Lytechinus pictus: one gene and its partner. The protein of the gene in region 2 interacts with the protein of the main gene of each other region in a biochemical or structural test. Links are inferred from orthologs where the notes say so. Each region holds a gene or a part of one and is shown on either strand. Other genes may lie near its edges. The genes, in order: exodeoxyribonuclease-like and adenine DNA glycosylase-like.

Region 1 (8,990 bases), on a different chromosome or scaffold from region 2:
CATCAGAATAAAATGGCGAATACCTCCCTTGTGGAAAACGGCTACAAAACGGCTAATAAAGGGCGAATACCTCCCTCGTGGAAAACTGCTACAAAACGGCTAATAAATGGCGAATACCTTCCTTGTGGTAAACGGCTACAATACGGGTAATAAAGGGCGAATACCTCACTTGTGGAAAACGGCTACAAAATGGCTAAAGGGCTAATATCTCCCTTGCGGAAACGGTAAAACGGCTAATATAAGGGTGATACCTCCCTCGGGGAAAAAGCCTTCGAAACTGCTAATAAATGGCGAAAGGCACAAAAGTAATAATAAATAGGACTAAACAAGTACAAATTAGCAAATAATGTACCACACAAGCGAGTGAGTGTACAATTGTGACAACTTGGAATAACATTGATACTGCCGTAATGTATGGTGATATACACTGTATAATTCCGAACAATCTTCATTTTTTTTCAATCATATCAAACCTTTTCTTAAAATTCATCAAACTTCCACCATAAAGTAATCATAAATACCTACAAAATATGAAGATCTAAAAATGGCTGAAATCAATCGGCCTATATCTAAAAAAAAAACTTATCAGATTCCGATTGCGCCCCTCTTCGCATGTGACATGATTTTCACTTGTGGTTCGTATACCAAACATGTGTTTGGTATATTAACAAAAATCTATAATTAACTAATTTTTACCATATTTTGTTATTTTTAGAAAATAGATACTTCATAAATATGATTTTTTTCCATCATCTTTTTCTTTTGGAAAGATGTTGCAAAGTGCTAAATGTATGCAATATATACTGATACTGTACTGTATTATTTTCTTTATCTTCTTGGGCTTGTTACCACAAAAGACCACAAATAGTAGACAGGGATTTTATATTATGCCCCCCTTTCCAAAAAGTGAGGGACGCGTCCCCCTCGGGTTCCCGCCCATGAAGAAGGGAAAATAAGAGTAAAGAATAAAGTATTCAATGAAGTTTCAATCGAATTCAATTAAATTTTATTTTCTTCTGATTGACATTTTATCAAATTTCACATGAAATATAAAAAAATATTGAAATAAAACAATGAATGTAGGCCTATACAATATGTAAATTAGATTTATGAAAGAAGGCGTAACCCCCCCCCCCCCCACAGAAAGCAGGTATGTTATGCGCAGGGCCCGATGGGAGTATAGTAACGTTCATAAGAGCTGAAATGGCTACCCCGGGTAAAATAACAATATTTTTATCTGTATGAAATGAGAATTATTACTAAATATTCCCCATGAAAACGAGAGCTTATTTCCAAAAGGAGTTCTTAAGAAAGTCTTAAGTTTATAGAAATGTTGAAAATATATATTCTACGCTTTCTATAGTCGCTTTTTCCCATTTTATGGAATGCATATCACACATTTTCACAATTTTTTAGCCATTTTATGCAATGCACGTCGTACTACCCATTTGCCCTTTTCTTTTTTTTCTAACCCTTTTTTTCTCCGTTTCATGCTCTCCCCTCTTACTACCCATCCGCCCTTTCTGTTTTATTCGCCCTTTTCTCTCCATTTTATGCACTGCACGCCTTACTACCCATTCGCCCTTTTGTCTCCGTTTTCTCGCCCTTTTATCTCCGTTTTATGCAATGCACGCCTTACTACCCATTCGCCCTTTTGTCTCCGTTTTCTTGCCCTTTTCTCTCCGTTTATTAGCCGTTTTCTTTCAGTATCTTCACTCCTCTAACAGGATCCTTCGCCGTTTTCTCGCCGTTTTCATGGGGAAATAAATAGCTCCGCTTATATTGGACAATGATGGCACTTCATAATAATTCAATGTTTACGTAGGAAACCTAATGTAGCCGTTTTTTCTCCAAAAATTCTCCCTTTCATCGCCCTTTTCTAGCCGTTTTCAAAACGGCGAAAAAACTGCAACTTTGAATTTCCCATAGGTTATAACACACAAAACGGCTAAAAAAGGGCGAAAAAACTGCAGTGGCTCACTGTGTGTGTGCAGTGTCGAGGGGCCAGGCCCCACCCCCATTGGAGAAACAAAAGTATGAAAAAGTATGAAATTGAAAAAATAATGACAGAAGAAAAAGTGTACAAAACCATGTTGCTTCCTCCTACCCTCTCATTTGCAGGCTTTTTTTTCAGACAACTTTTCTAGAAAAGTGTGCCCAAAAATGAGCAAATTTTATCAAACAAAAAATGTTGCACAAATGTCTTTTCTTGTATGTTCAAGCAATGAATGATAACATTCTTTTGCTTCTCACTTGAAAATCAAAATTTCTCTCACAAAATGAAATGAAAAGCAAGTAATTACAATACCTCTACTTTGGTTTTCTTCTGATCGACATCTTTGTCATTGCTTGCTTTTGATTCTTGCTGAAAAAGAAAATAATAATTTGTTATTGCATTGCATGTCATATCCCTCAAAGCAGGAATCATGCTTTGGTAAATGTGACAAAAATAGAATAAAAGATATATATATAGGTTAAAAATGATAAAAATAAACTGGGTTACAAAAGAAACTGATAAAACTGTACAAAGGCACTGCACAAATTCTACTCAGTCAAAATGAACAATATTTTTACACAGACTGGCTTTAATAAGCACATATGTCAATTATTAAAGGAGAATGAAACCCTTGAAACCAGCTGAATCCATATCAAAGAGAAAAATCAAAGAAACATATTGTTGAAAGTTTGAGGAAGATTGAATGAATAATAAGAAAGTTATGAGCATTTGAATTTCGAGATCACTAATGCCATGTAGATCCCCCCATTGGCAATGCGACCAAGATCTGTGATGTCACACACGTACAACTCCCTCATTACTTTAGTACTTATTTCACTTATATTCTCACTTTTATAGTCTATCACAAGGTGAGGTGTTCTCTTTATGAGAGGACAAGTACAGAGGTTTCACAACATTATATCATTGATTAATCGTTTGTCATATGATTAGAATGAGCAAAAAGAGAGGTTTTGGGGTATATTTTCAGTGTCCAAAAGGGGAGAGTTGTTCATCTGTGACATCATAGATCTTGGTCGCATTGCCAATGGGAGGATCTCCATAGCATTAGTGATCTCGACATTCAAATGCTCATAACTCTTCTATTGCTAGTCCTATTTTACTCAAACTTTTGTTGATCTTATTCTTTGATTTTTCTGCTTTCACAAAAGCTAACTTGCTCCAAGAGTTTCATTCTCCTTTAAGAGATTGTTTCAATCACAGAGAGGCTATAGCCTCTCACATCAATTGGTTTCAGAATCCAAAGTCACAAATCAGTCTTTCTTTTGCCCTTTTGTGACTTTGGATTCTGAAACCAATTGAAGCGAGGGGCTATAGCCTCTCTGTGATTGAACCAATATCTTATAGTATACAAATGATGCACAGATTAGAGTGGGTCAGTAGGAACTGTGTGCACAAGGTAACTTTGGCATGGTTTAACCCATGAGGCGCATCCGAGTGGGTTTAGACCATAATGCCAAAGTTACCGCGTGCACACAGTTCCACTGACCCACGATAATAAGCTGTGCATCATATGTTTTATAGAATGGGGGCTTCTATTAAAAAAAAAAACTCAAAAAAAAGAAGGAAATTACCGGATTCAATTCAGAAGCCGCCCAGCCCCACTCGCAAGATCCTCGTTACGAGACATCTCAGTTCCCCAGCCCTGCCAAAATTGTCAAGAGTGAGCACCGCGTGCAAGAGATGCAAGTACGGTTTCGCAACTCTCTACATAACTACTAGCCGCTCCATGCATGGCTAGCGCTTGCAGTGCTATGGTGCAATGTACCTACAGTGCCGTGATCCCGTTCCATAGACCCTGTTTTTCACACCAGGCGGTATATATTTAGTTCCCAAGACCTTTTACTTTACCCTTTTAGTCAGTTCCTTAGACGCCATTTAAGAGTTTTGTGAGGCACACTCCCATCAAAAAATAATTTGAGTGCCCCCCCCCCCCCCCCCGGTTCGACCTTATAATTACCATCTTCATTACCAACCTGCATATACTCATGTATTCAAATGGATCATCATTCCTGATGACGACCAGAACACGCTGGTCGAAACGATAACAATTCTTTAAAGAGCTATCAAACAACCAAGAGAGATAAACAAACAGTCTTTTTCAGAACTACATGCATGGTGTTTACCTCAAAAGAACTTCCATTATTCTCTCCACCATGAAAACCTTTAAAGATCATCTTAGTCCCAACACCTTTTGAGAAAACTTTTCTATTCACCCCAACATAGACAGGGAATAATTTTCCTGGTATCGCATCGCAATTTGCTCCACATTTTTGAAAGACTGCTATGCTTCTTTTGTATAGCATACATGTATGTTTACATTGGTCTGGACATTACTAGTTTAGAGCTTTTCTCTTATGACCAAAAATTCTATTCAAATTTGTAAAGCAAAATTATTCCCTGATAAAGAACAGGATGTAAAATCCTCTCAAGTATCTTTTCAGGTCTAAACCACCTTTTGTTCATCATTTTCACACTCTTCATAGAATACTTGATATCAGTTTAAATCACTATTTACAAACAATTCACAAATAACCAGGGTGAGGGGTGGTTATAGGGACGTGCCACTCGAGCTGGGTTGCTTTCTTGCATTTAACATTTCTCAAAACTCTGGGGTTTTGTGTGCCAGAAGGTCCCCTAAATGGCGCAACGTTTGGAGTATAACCTACAAGTTGCTACAAAATATGGACATTCTTGATCTGAATAAGTATCCACTCATGTACATGTATTCTCTCTTATTGTCACAAAATATATCACAACTTTAAGCAAGTTCCTTTATTTTCTGTCAAATTGACCCTTAATGCAAATATGAAACAGGAGTCAAATCAAGTCCTCAACTACCCCTACCTGTGGCCTGTCAATCATCATAAAAGAGAAAAGAATACCACAATGTATAATCTATCATCAAAATCAAGCGTACGATCAATCGCTATTGTGTTACGGAACATTGGCCAGGCTTCTAATCCATATCATTCTCAGTAGTGGACTCTTGTAACATAAACCCACTTAATGGGGGTACTTCAGGCTGAAAATACTTATTTGAATTGAGTAGAATTCACCGAGCAGAATGCTGAAAATTTCATCAAAATTTGAAGAAAAATAAAATGTTGCCAATATTTTGTGAAAACAATTAAATGCATGCCTTCATGAATATTCATTAGGTGGGCTGATGTCATGTCCCCACTTGCCTTTTTCTTATGTTATTACTTAAAATCCTAATTATTCCATATTTCCTACATCTGTGTATGAAATATCTACCTTAGTTATAACAAAAGAAGTTGCAGCAATAATTATCTTACATATTGAATAAGATGTCAATCCGCTTTTTAAAATTTTTGGTGGACAAAGTTTGAAAATATATAATTTCATACAATAAAGTACAAGAATAAGTGGGGATATTGACATCAGTTTTATGTACTTACATGTATTGCATATTCAATGTGCATACATGTATAATAAATAATGCAAAAACTTTGTCATGACTTTGTTATTCCTTGTCCGACTTTGATGACATTTCAATGCTTTGTCTTCTTCTACTTCAACTGTTCAAATGGTGACAGGACATTTGCTCCTGCGACAATTGCTCGGGGCATAATTTTTGTCTAAGATATAGGGTTAGGGTTGCAATAGGGTTTTATGTTAACTTTAGGGTTACTAGGTTTAGGGCAGGGTAGTGTTAGACCCAGGGTCGAAGTTGGTAATTCGTTTAGAGTGTGGAATTTAGAGCGGAGCAATTGTCGCCGGAGCAAGTGTCATGGAACCGTTCAAATCATATTATTTTTAATAGCCTGGAGTACCCCTTTAAAACTGGGTATGAAGGACTATTAAATGGCACCCTCCCTCTGAAACAAATTATCTGTATGCCTCAGCAAAATAAATCAAATACCACTTGGAAAAAGTTATGACCACTTTATACCAATTATGACTTCCATATATATATCAAACTTTAAACTTTACAATATTGTGTTTGTACATGTTGGTGCAATGGGAAGTAGTATCTCATTTCATACATCATTTTCAGCTTCATGAAATACAGAAACAGATGGACATTTCAAATTGTATTGTTTCAATAAAAAACATTTTATTTAATATACAAAGTATATCGTTTTATGTACAAGATCAACGCCCCTTCAAGTAGCACTAAAGTATTTGACAAAATTTAATTACTGCTATGTACATAATGGTACATCTTATGAAATGTGTTCGAGTACAAGCCCTGTTTTATGTTTTCATGTGCTGAACTCTAACCAAATGTCACTCTAATAGCAGAGCTGCCAACCTAAACAAGAACATTTCAGTATTTTAAAGATGAAAATTCTTATTTTGGTGAGAAATCAGTACATGTATTTTCAAAGAAATACCATAGGACAACACGTAAAACTGAAACTTTAGAAATCAGTATTTTGCATGAAACCTTCAGTATTCTTCTCATTTTTCAGTACTAACCACGGAAAATCCGTACTACTCGGCAGGTTCGCGATGGGATGTTAAATGGATAGTCCGACATAGAGAAAAGTCATCACTTTCAACAGTAAGATCAGTACCTGCTGCACATCTTCCATTCAAAGGCCAAGTCCATCTGATCAAACAATTGATTTGATCAACAAAAGAAAAATCGAACCAGTGTTTTTATTGCAAACTTTGATATTTTCAATTGTACACGGATATATGTGATTATATTCTTATGTGTTTACTGTACCATTATTGTAAATATTACAAATCGAAGGTGGAAAATAAAAATTATTTAATTGAGTTGATATTGTTTCCCAACATTGCAATATTTATTATCTTATTTTGCTTGCAATGATGAAAAACAATATCTTCTCGAATATTTAAAATTACAATTTATGTCATTTATTGCGACTAAATCACAATATCATCAACTATACAAAATTGAAAATAAATAGAGTGCTTGACAGTGTCTCATTAGCTCTTTCATTTTCATACAGATAACTCACGCACGCAACTGCGTACCATTTTTTTTTGTCGTTCTCACTATGCAAACTTTTAATGCTGGCTATAAATGGTGCCAATATTTTGGCAAGAATTCCGTCAAATTCAACCTGAACCCTTATTAGCATCGAATGGCAACTTTGCCACACAATGGTAAATACTGCATAATCAATTTAATATTCTAATTGGTTAAATAAACATAATGTCATGATAATTTCAATGCATATCACAGAAATACCTTACTAAAATATTTCATGCAATGGGGCCCAGGTCAATTAATTTTTTTTTTCTTTTAAAAAAAAAAAAAAAAAAATTCGAATGGAGGCAATAACCATAAGTGGTGCCCATCGCTGATAGAATTGCGTTTAAAACAGAACTTGGTAAAATGAAGTGAGAGTCCAAAATGTACACTTCTCATAGGCTGGAAATCAAGTTGTTTTAATTCTTGGTAAATGTATTAATTTAAACTCTTTCTGCAACTTGGCCCACCTTTCCTAAAGAAAAGTTTTACCATCTCGGTAAGATACAACAAGGGTCTGTTTCACAAAACTTGTTATAGTAACAAACTTTCACTAATAGTTTCAAGCTACTGAAATCATTTGATTTTATTGGCCGATGGTATACTTCTTATAGATATTTATGTTTTGTATTTATATAGCATTCAGCAGGATAAAGCACGTCGGTGCCACTTAGCAGGTCAAATGATTATTGAAATTTTCATACTTCATATCAAAAGATTTCTTGTGTAAGGCTGTAAATACATTTTGCCATTTTACATTTTCGCAAACATGTAATAAATCGTTATACCATAATTTCATTATAACAGACGTACACACAGGTGGGGCTATGAGTGTATAAAGGGAATGGAAGTGAGAAGGAAGGGAACATTATATTGAATGTAGGTGAAAGGGGCGGGGTGGGACAGAAGTACATTGGGGATGGGGGAAGGATGATGAAAGGAGGTCAACCCTCTGCATTCCACTTTCTAAGCAGCGCGCGACACTGGCACCGGTCCGACGGTCCCAGACCAGTAAAAATTGCTGTCGGGCCACTTGTTTTTCAGAAATAGCCAGATTTACTAGCTCCGACATGACCAGTAAAATATGTATCAAACTGATACAAATGATATTTTCTCCTCTTTTGTAAATTATAAAAAGGCTCTGGCATCTTCAACAATGGCCCTCCAAAATTGAGAAATGGCTCTCATGAATTATGTTGTGGGGGGGGAATAAAAGCAATTAAAGTCAGCAAAATAAACTCAAGCCTCTTTTTATATTTTTCTTTACTTTGAGGGACCAGTAAATTTTAGGTTCGGACCAGTAAAAAGTTTGCCATCTACTGGTCCGACATGAACAGGTTGGATCTGTAGGAAAAAAAGGGTTAGTGTGGAGCCCTGTTCTAAGTATCCTCTGGTAAAAATCAATCGGTCTTGAGCCTTCATGTGGAGTAGATTGATCTGCAAACATCAAACTCTGAGAAAATCACTGGAAATGCCAGTCCTGTATAAATAAATGTCTCACTTTCAGGCTCACCACATTAATGCCCAACCATTGATTGAAGACTAGTCAAAACATATCCATGCTTGCTGCTGGTTTTGTCAGGCAAGGATGATGAGAATTCAGAGCTGCCAAGTTGTATTTTGCATTTTCAGTATTCTTATCCCCCAAAATCAGTATTTTGACAAAAAAATCAGTATTTTTACCGTGTGAGATAAATATTTTGTATTTTTCCCCCAAAAAAGTGTATTTCATAGTAAAATGTTTGGCGCACTCGCCCATCACGGCGCTCAAGCTGCATGCAGGCTAAAATGTGCACTGCTCTTGCAGATGAAAAAAAAAAAACATTGAAACTTGTGTATATCTCACCCTGGTTTTTACAAAATGATTGAAAAAAAAAACAAGTTACCTGAAATTACATTGATCTAATAAGCATATTTGTGTAAGTTTGATGAAATAGAGACATATAGAGATGATTTTTCTCAATAAATTTCGATTTTGTAAAAAAAAAAAAATTCAAAAAACGT
Region 2 (9,122 bases):
CGCAGGATTTTGGCTGGTCCAACTGTCCTACACGACTGGTGAACTGTCCACCTTGTATCGGTCTGGCAGCCGAACTCTGCACCTGTCCGTTGCCCTCTGGAGTCTTCGCTGATCCAAATCTGGCAATGAAAGCCGCAGTAGCAAAGCCAGTCATGAAGGCGTCAAAGCCAGCACGGTGGCTTCCTGATTTCTTTGGTGCTAGAGATGTTGGTTTGGTCTGATTCGATCTACTGACACCATCTGTTAGAGGGTTCAACTCAGTTGGAGCATCGGAGCCATTTTCCTTGCCAAGATCAGGGTTATCACCATTCACCACTGGGACAGTTTCCTCACCAACTCCTGTACTTGCTTCAGGCGCAGTACTACCTACATCCAGGCTTTCATCTTTCCGCTCCTCCTCTCCCTCACCATCTCCATCTTTCATCCTTTTCTCATCAGTCTCTCCATCCTGGACGTCCATTTCCTGGTTACGATTCTTGCGATTTCTCCTTCTCCTCTTGCGCTTACGCTTTTCTTCGATGATGATCTCTTCGGAATCTAAGATTGCATTAGGATCATGAGACTTTGGACAGTGGATCCCCTTGGCGCAACATCCATGGGCCTAATTAATAAATAAATAAAAACATTATCACATTGGTGAGTGCAACAATGAATAGGAAGGAGAGAAATCAAGCTTTTATAAACACGAAAAATAAAGTTTATAGTTAACTATAAACCATTAAAAGGAGAATAAAGTATATACATCCTGTTATTGTTTCGATGAACAGAAAAAATGAAAATATTTCAAAAAAAGAACAGTTTGATCATATCAAACTAGGGTATAGTCTCAAAGGACACCAAATGGAAAATTCCTTAAATGTTGTACACTCTTTTATCCTACCACATTATTTAATTCGGCCCTCATATTTGGTTGGTAATGTATTTTGTTTTCTCAATCTTGATTCTTTTTCATTGTTGCTGTTTGCTGTAAGGCATAAAAATTTCCTGGAAACAAATACAATTATGATATATTAACCACATACCGCATAGATTTCGCAAACATCAGTAGTCTTGTTTCCAGAATTTCCTTTGTTTTGCCTCTCTTCGAAGTCTGCAGGTAGTAGGTAACTCTGGTATTCCACAGCATTCATATCGGAAGAGTATTGGCAGAAGACTACAGAGGCATGGGAGAGTCCCTTCAGCTTTCTTATGGCATTGTCTCTTTGGCTAAAACGAAGCAAAATAAAGCAATTTAAATGTAGCAACTCCTCACAGGTAAACAAAACATGGTGCCTATAACCACGCCATGAGGATGACAAGTGTTTTTCATGAAATCACATCTTAAAACCTGTCCTACTTTTCTTGTCTCAAGGATAAAGAGAATCACTGGTCACACAAAATGATGGGCCGAATACACAAAAGGTAACAATTACTTTCTGAATGTTTTCAAGCTCTTCGATTGAATCATTACACATAAGAATTAGCAAGTTTGTTGGAAAAATCTTCGTTAGACAAAATAGAGAGCACATATTCCTTTGTGTTCGCACTGCATCAATGTGAATGCTATCGTTGAAACAGCAATCAAATGACAGCTCATGTGCACAAAATGTAAAAGTTAAATTCAAGAAAATTTTCATAAGCATAATAAACATTTGCTTGAGCTCAATCTTTTTGCTTGCTTTAAGGCCAAGGAATGCTCAAGTCCGAGGCCTTGAAAAAATAGGTCTCACGGAAAAGGTTGAACATCAAAGCACTACAACAATCACTGGGGAATGATAATCATGATGGCAAAGATTAACAATCTATTTTTGTCTGGATAAAATCTGTCTAGATACTATTAATAAGATTCAAGATTCAAAATAATTTAATTGTCATAATTTTAAAAAAATGCATAAAATCATCCTCTGTAATGTCATGGTCTGAAATTTCAAGATAGTTTTATCACTTTTATGAAATCAAAGACTAATATGAAAAGCAGTTAATACCTCTTCCTGAAGACGTATTCCAAGTACGATGCAGGCATCCGGGCTTCGTACTCTGCCACATATTTGGTGTCTATGATTCCGCCAGAGTACATCTCGTAAAGATCTGCAACAAACTGGGCACTTGAGGCTGGAAGATCAGTGTAGAGGTTCTGATAGAGAAACACTAGGTCTACTAGACCATTGTGAAGGGTCAGGGGCTTCCTGGAAGCCAAGATGTGGTTGAAAAGAAGCCGGAGAGAAGGCCACGATTTATCCTCCTTCTAGTATTGATATGAAACAGAATAACAAAAAATACAACTTTATAAAATGAAACATAAAAAAACAACCAACTGATAATAATATGAGGCGTCAATTATCTAGTTGCTTATTCAATGGCGGACTATATGTTACCCCGGCTTTAGGTCCAGCTGCTAAAGGTGCTTGGTACATTCAATTAATTAAATTAATCCTACCAGGATTCATCTCATCTCACCTGGTTTGAGTGCAGCACAACATGGCTTAATTTCTTGCTGAAGGAAAACACACCATGGCTAGGATTCAAACCCACGACCCTCTGAATGGCGAGTGCCAGAATCACTAAACCACAACATCTCTACAAAATAATAAGATACCGGTACACAAAACAACCCCCCCCCAAAAAAAAAAAAAATTAGAATATGATACACTGATAACTGATTGAAATTACTCTCCAGGTAAAATCACTCCAACCAATCAAATTCTGAACTATTATATTACTGTAAGAACTAAATTTTGTGGATAACAATTTATTTATCATCTTGGTCATGTTCCATGATCTTCTGCAACAAGTGTCCGCCAATCAAATTGAATGATTTTAGTAGCTTGAAATTGCTATTCCAAATTTATTGTTTTAACAAATTATGTTATATTACTTACATCCGCCACTGTGTTACTATGGTAAAAACAGACTGTCACATATAGCATCCAACAAATCCTATCATGAAACTATACTAATTTTGAAGAAGGTTCAATGAAAAGATCAGCTTGATGAGGAAAGGGCTAATTCTTCACTGCCCCCCTGCCTCCATATGCCTCCACCTCCTCCATCTGGAGGAGCGTTGTGGCCCATTGGATTATTCTCTGGACTAGCTTTGAAACAGAGGGTCGTGGGTTCGATTCCCAGCCATGGCGTAATTTCCTTCGGCAAAATTTATCCACATTGGGCTGCACTTGACCCAGGTGAAGTGAATGGGTACCCGGTAGGATTTATTCCTTGAACGCTTTAGCGCCTATTAATATGGCGGCTTAGTTACAGCCGGGGTAATAATATGATACCAAGTATCAAAGCGCAGTTGAGTATAAGCACATAGTAACTGAGCTATATAAATGGACATATAATATTATCATTATCTCTTATGGAAAAGAATATATATTCAACTTTCTAAAATACTTTTAAAATGTTGATGGCTTACCTTATCAGGTCCCCTGCAGTACGGTACACCACAGGAATACTGCTTATTGAAATCAAATCCATGTCCCACCAAGAACTGCAGAGCCCCTGGCTCTACCATGTAATCCTCATTACACAATGTCAGGATGTTGAAGGTCTGGGCCAGGAATTTCGGACCCGGTCCTGGTCCCGCTGCTGTCTGGTCAGCTGGACCATTTTGGTCCTCCTCATCTTGGATCTTGAAGCAGGATAGCCCTAACGAAAGGATAGACCTGGTCTTGGCAACCTCGGCAATAGACTTGTATCTATCCTCAATGGATCTACAAAAGAAATGAACAAAACCAGACAATGAATTTACAGCAACAGTAGAAGCAAAAACTTGGTATATGCCAATGACTGTATTCAAAGTGATTTAAAATAATATGGGTACTGGGGTCCATTGCAAAAAAAGGCAGGTTAACATTATACTAACTTTGCCATCTAATGGTAACTACCATGGTAGCAATGATTAAAAGCCAATCAGAATCAAGAATTTCATGTAAGTTACCATTGGATGGCAAAGTTACTAAGTTATGTGCAAGAGAGCACAGATATTAAAAAAAAAAGTGAATCCAATTAAAATCTTTTAACAAAAGGGGAATAAAATATAAAAAGCTGAAAGGGAAAAATTCTATAGGGCATGACCACTTGCAGTCTACAACCACCTAGTCTGTTGAGTTTAGCTTAGGTAACAGTATGAAAAATTATATTGTAAAAAAATATATATTAGTCACATTGATCATCTTTCTATCATTAGAACTAGGTTTTTCTTTCTTTCACAAGAGAGCTAAAAAAAGGCCTCAATTTTCAGGATATTCTTATCTCTTCTCTTGTAGACAGATGTGGGAACATATCAGAGGTGAAACCAACAAACCTTTTGTTTTTTAATTAAAATGTAATTCATACAAATTAACTTACTTTTGAGGCAAGGACAACAGGATATATCTGATCAAAATTCATCCAAGGCAATACATCAACAGAAAATAAGCACACACAAAGAAATATCCAAACATCAAACATATTGTCAACTTAATTTCATTCACATGGATTTAATATACTAGGCAAGGTTATGTCACAACCGTGTTTGGATTGAATGAACAGGCCCAATGTTGTGAATAACTTAATTTTTCTTTCACTTCAGGCAAAACTTTTTGTTTTAAGGAATTCAAATCTATAGATTTATTTTGGTTTAATGGTTAAAAAAAACTTGATACCAGCACAAAATTATACTTTTAAAATTGTACATTCCCATTCCATCACAATCTTATTCTTAGATTTATAACAAATGTTAAAACATGAACTCATGAGCACTCCAGGTGATGAGCAAATATCATAAAATAAATTTTATCATTGTTCATTTTTTTCTCGAACCATTTTAGAAAAATGAAGAGGTCGAAATCACATCACAAAACTCAATGCATGGGATCATGCAAAATAATCAAGGATTCATACTTTGCCATTAGATTTCTCCTGCATCCTAGACCACTGAGCTCTGCATCAATAGCAATAAATGAAGCTGTCTGGATCGCTAAATTTATGGCAGGCCAGAAATCTGAAAAATTATCACGATGAACATCGATGATTGGTACATTTAACGACATTTTGTTCCTGGAAGCTGGCCTCAGATAAAGTGAAATCCTCGTCAACGTAACGTTTCTTAACGTTTAACCGATTTGTGACTTTTCTATATGGTCAACGTTAATCGGGTGCAGGGATAGGGTAGACCGTATTCATGCTGAAAAGATGTATCGAGACTACGCAAAAAAAGAAAAGGAAATTCAAATCAATTTAGTCATGATAGATCATAAATTAGATTGATTCATGCATTAATAATACTCTAATTGAATAAAAGAAGGGTCATAATTGTTTAAAAATCTGATATATTATCAATACTTTTAACGCTAAGCCCCTCTAATTGATTGAGTGGAATCATCCGGGATTTTCCCTTTCAACAAGGCGCGCGCCGAATCGAAATGCATTTCATAACAAACTCGTGGGCGAGTCGAGTGTCAAGCTTTGAAAGCTGTGTGCAGTGAGTACGTATGCATGGAATCAGACTTGGGATAAGTATCAGCTCCAGATTTGAAGATCTGAAGAAGCATCAAATATCAGTGATAATTGCCCGATTTATGTCCATGATGAAGAAGGCATCGAAAATCAACAGTATTTCCGGTAGGTAGAAGAGTTAGTCCTAATGTACTTACGTTTACCAAGTTGTGCTGCAAAAGTGCAAGTGCAAAAAAGGCTACATCATCGATGACATCAATCATGATGCTAACTGATACTCATGTAGTGAAGGTAACTAATAGGCTTATCAGTTTTGGACGCTGGACTATCTGATGATCTGTTATATCTCTGTTGGTGTTGACTTGTCTGGGGGAGCTGCTCCCTAAATGTTTTTGACTTCAGCCTGAGTATGCCAGATCTAGCTTGTATTTATTGGGAGAGCGAATTAAAAACAATGATGAGAGAAAGAGGGAGAATGCAGTCTATGTTATTTCCTTTCCAATTCATAAAGTGGAAAAATAACAACAATCGATCAGAGTTATAAATTCAGTTACTAAATTGCTATTCTATCTGTATGAACATGAGTAACTGTAATTAAGGATATTTCATGTATATTGTATTACTTTCTAATGGTAATATCATTCAAATTCTCATCAGATTCACAGGTACGAGGTCCTATTCACAGATTTTCGGAGACTGAAATCGAGTCTTTGCGTAAGAAATTACTGAAGTGGTATGATGCAAACAAGAGGGATTTGCCATGGAGAAACGTAAGTAGGCTTAGATTTGTGTTGGAGACTAGAACAGTAGGAAGACTTCCGTTATGCTATTTTGTTATTGATTTTCACTAATAATAGATGGAAGCTACTAATCATTTCATCGAATCTGCTTTGAGGTAATTTGTGAAAATCGATGACAAGATTAATTTTTCATGAAATGCTTTCCAATATAATCCTCATTAAAAATTAAAGTATATATGGTATTGATAAAAGTGATCTATAAACATATTTTTCAAATATGAATGAATGAATGAAAACTGTCCACATTAGTTATTGATTACCTATGCTGTTATTAGGAGAAAAATATGATTAAAACAATTTTGAGATATGATTAGGACATTTGCTTGGTAAAGTGAAATATCTCAAAACCTTATTTTGCCTTTGGCTGTATAGGTAAATTGAATTTATTGTTGTGAAGCATATATGAGCATCTTATTGTTATTTGAAATTATTTTTACTTGCAAGTATCTATTTTTTTTCAATATTCTCCTTTTTGCCATTAGTCCCATTTTAGTGATATGACTTGTCATATAAATTTGTTATTTTCCTTCATAAATTCCTTTTTATTGTTTGCAGATAAAAGGAGAAGACACTAATCATAACGCATATGCCATCTGGGTTTCTGAGATAATGTGTCAACAGACACAGGTTGCCACGGTGATTGATTATTACAACAAATGGATGAAAGTAAGTACATATAGCAAAATTGTTTAACCCCTTTTGAATATAAACAAATTGTGAAAGACATTGACTTATTGAGTTCTGAACAAGTTGGATTTTTTTTTTAAATTAAATTTTATTGGTCAATTGAATTACATGGAGCTTATTATTTTTCTTGATGATATTAACATTGTGAAAATCAGAGAATAAAATCTAAATAATCACAGTATGAAAACTATCACTAAATATTGGTTTCAAACACATTTTGAATTGATATAGACATTCTTTTAATGTGTTACAACTTTTTCTTTAAACAAGGTTTTTTTTTAAAGATTTTGTTTATCACAAACCTGACATTGCTCCATCGAATGATATAACGATTATGTAAATTAATTTCATTCGATATGATTACAATTTCTGAAATGTCTGTCGCTATCTTTCCAGAAATGGCCAACTCTTGAATCACTGTCAAAGGCATCTATAGAGGTGAGAATTATATTACAAACAGATAAGAAGAATTTGAGTCTAGTTTCATTTCACACATATATGGTGTAGATATTTATGATACATGTATTTGTACTTACTACTATTGATTACAATTATGATTATTTTTGATAAAAATCTTTATGATATGTAGAATAATGGCAAAATTGTCTGTTTCTTGTTCTACTGAATTTGAGCTTTGTTAGGAGCCACTCCAGCAATTTCATTCAAAACTTTTGAATTACTGACAATAATAAGTGACAATCTTATTAAGGGGCTGGAAAGCTGTGTGGAAGCTGATTATATCACTGAAACTGAGTCATGTACTAGGCTCAGATTACATTAAGTAGCATTTTCAAGTTAATGACATTGACTTTTGGAGTCTTAAGAGGCTTTAATGCTATTTTTGTTTTGCTTTGTTTAAAACAATTTTTTTGTCAGTCTTATGTGATACCCCAATCATTTGAAAGGTGATTTGCATTTACAATTTCTTTTTCAAGATACCTTTGGTAATGTCGTCCTTGTTAGATTAATTATAATATCTATTTATAGGAAGTGCGAGAAGTCTGGGCAGGTCTTGGCTATTACTCTAGAGGGCAGCGTCTTTTAGAGGGTGCTCTCAAGGTTAAGAATGAGCTCGATGGTCAGATTCCAGGAACCGCTGAACAACTTCAGAAGAAGCTGCCTGGTGTTGGCCGCTATACAGCAGGAGCAATAGCCTCAATATCCTTCAACGAGGTACTGTTTTTCAGCATCTGCGCATCATCAAATAATTTTTGTAATTTGTTGTAAGGCAATAATCTGTGTCGTTTTTAATCTTGAAAGATTTTGTATTATTATGTCTATTACATTTTGTTCCCAAGTAATACGTTATTAACAGGAAAAGCACATTTTGAAATGCCCATGTTACCCCCTGACATGTAGAATGTTTTTTATTATTTTTATTATTATATTGCCCCCACAAAATCAATCAATATTTACATTATAAAGGTTTCATATTTTCAGCATATAATGATGATGATGATTTCTGATTGCTAAGAAAGCATGAATGCTTGTAAGCAAGCAACCAGAGGACTGATGGCTGAAGGTCCTCTGTGAGGGACCTGGTGATGAGGATAAATAACTGAGGGCACTAGCACACCATGTGGGAATCAAACCTGGGTCACTGGATTGCAATTTCCGTTACTGTACCGACTGAGCTATCATGCTTCCTATCTGCATTATTTTGATGCACTGGGAGGGGATGGGATAGGGTCTACAATGTTATGACCTTCCCCTTCCTCAGTCACATTATCACAGATTTTCTTCACTTATTGCAATGTGAGATATGCTCATATTTTCTTTTATTGTTTTTTTATCAAGGCTACCGGTGTTGTGGATGGCAATGTGATCAGAGTTCTTGCCCGGTTGAGGTTGATAGGTGCCGATTTTACCAGTAAGAATGTCATGGCAGCAATGTGGTAAAGAAACTCTCTATTATATCCCTCCAATGAATATTCATGAATTTTCATTGATTTGTCAGTTTGTTCTCACATGGTACAGGTAGAAGATAATTTGTCAATTTATTGTCCAGGGTAGTACTGCAAATGCATAATGAAATAATGAACATTCTCAGTTCTGCCCCAGAATAAAAAATATTGAAAACTATTCGAATATCTCACCAAGTCTCAGGCACACAGATCAAGGGATTGTCTCTAGTTGGCATCATTCACGATATAGCAGCGCAGACACTGGTCTGCAAGAATTTGAGAATGAGTGATATATGGAAAAGCAAATATCTAT

What was found.
Region 1: the proteins of adenine DNA glycosylase-like (region 2) and exodeoxyribonuclease-like form a complex in vitro, tested with the Homo sapiens proteins (3 studies listed by BioGRID and IntAct, with this or other methods). The link is inferred for Lytechinus pictus from reciprocal best matches to the Homo sapiens genes MUTYH and APEX1.

Annotation. Positions count from the first base shown.
Region 1 is NC_087248.1:18,626,362-18,635,351, reverse strand, and holds the start of exodeoxyribonuclease-like, read right to left. Parts: upstream 3,893-8,990; coding exon 3,866-3,892; intron 2,366-3,865; coding exon 2,309-2,365; intron 1-2,308.
Region 2 is NC_087255.1:22,397,476-22,406,597, reverse strand, and holds the start of adenine DNA glycosylase-like, read left to right. Parts: upstream 1-5,394; 5' UTR 5,395-5,453; coding exon 5,454-5,583; intron 5,584-6,075; coding exon 6,076-6,188; intron 6,189-6,773; coding exon 6,774-6,884; intron 6,885-7,301; coding exon 7,302-7,343; intron 7,344-7,892; coding exon 7,893-8,078; intron 8,079-8,702; coding exon 8,703-8,800; intron 8,801-9,122. Other genes in the region: target of EGR1 protein 1-like, read right to left, coding at 1-601, 1,023-1,206, 1,965-2,224, 3,395-3,692, 4,864-5,012. UniProt on the Homo sapiens protein: Involved in oxidative DNA damage repair. Initiates repair of A*oxoG to C*G by removing the inappropriately paired adenine base from the DNA backbone. Possesses both adenine and 2-OH-A DNA glycosylase activities.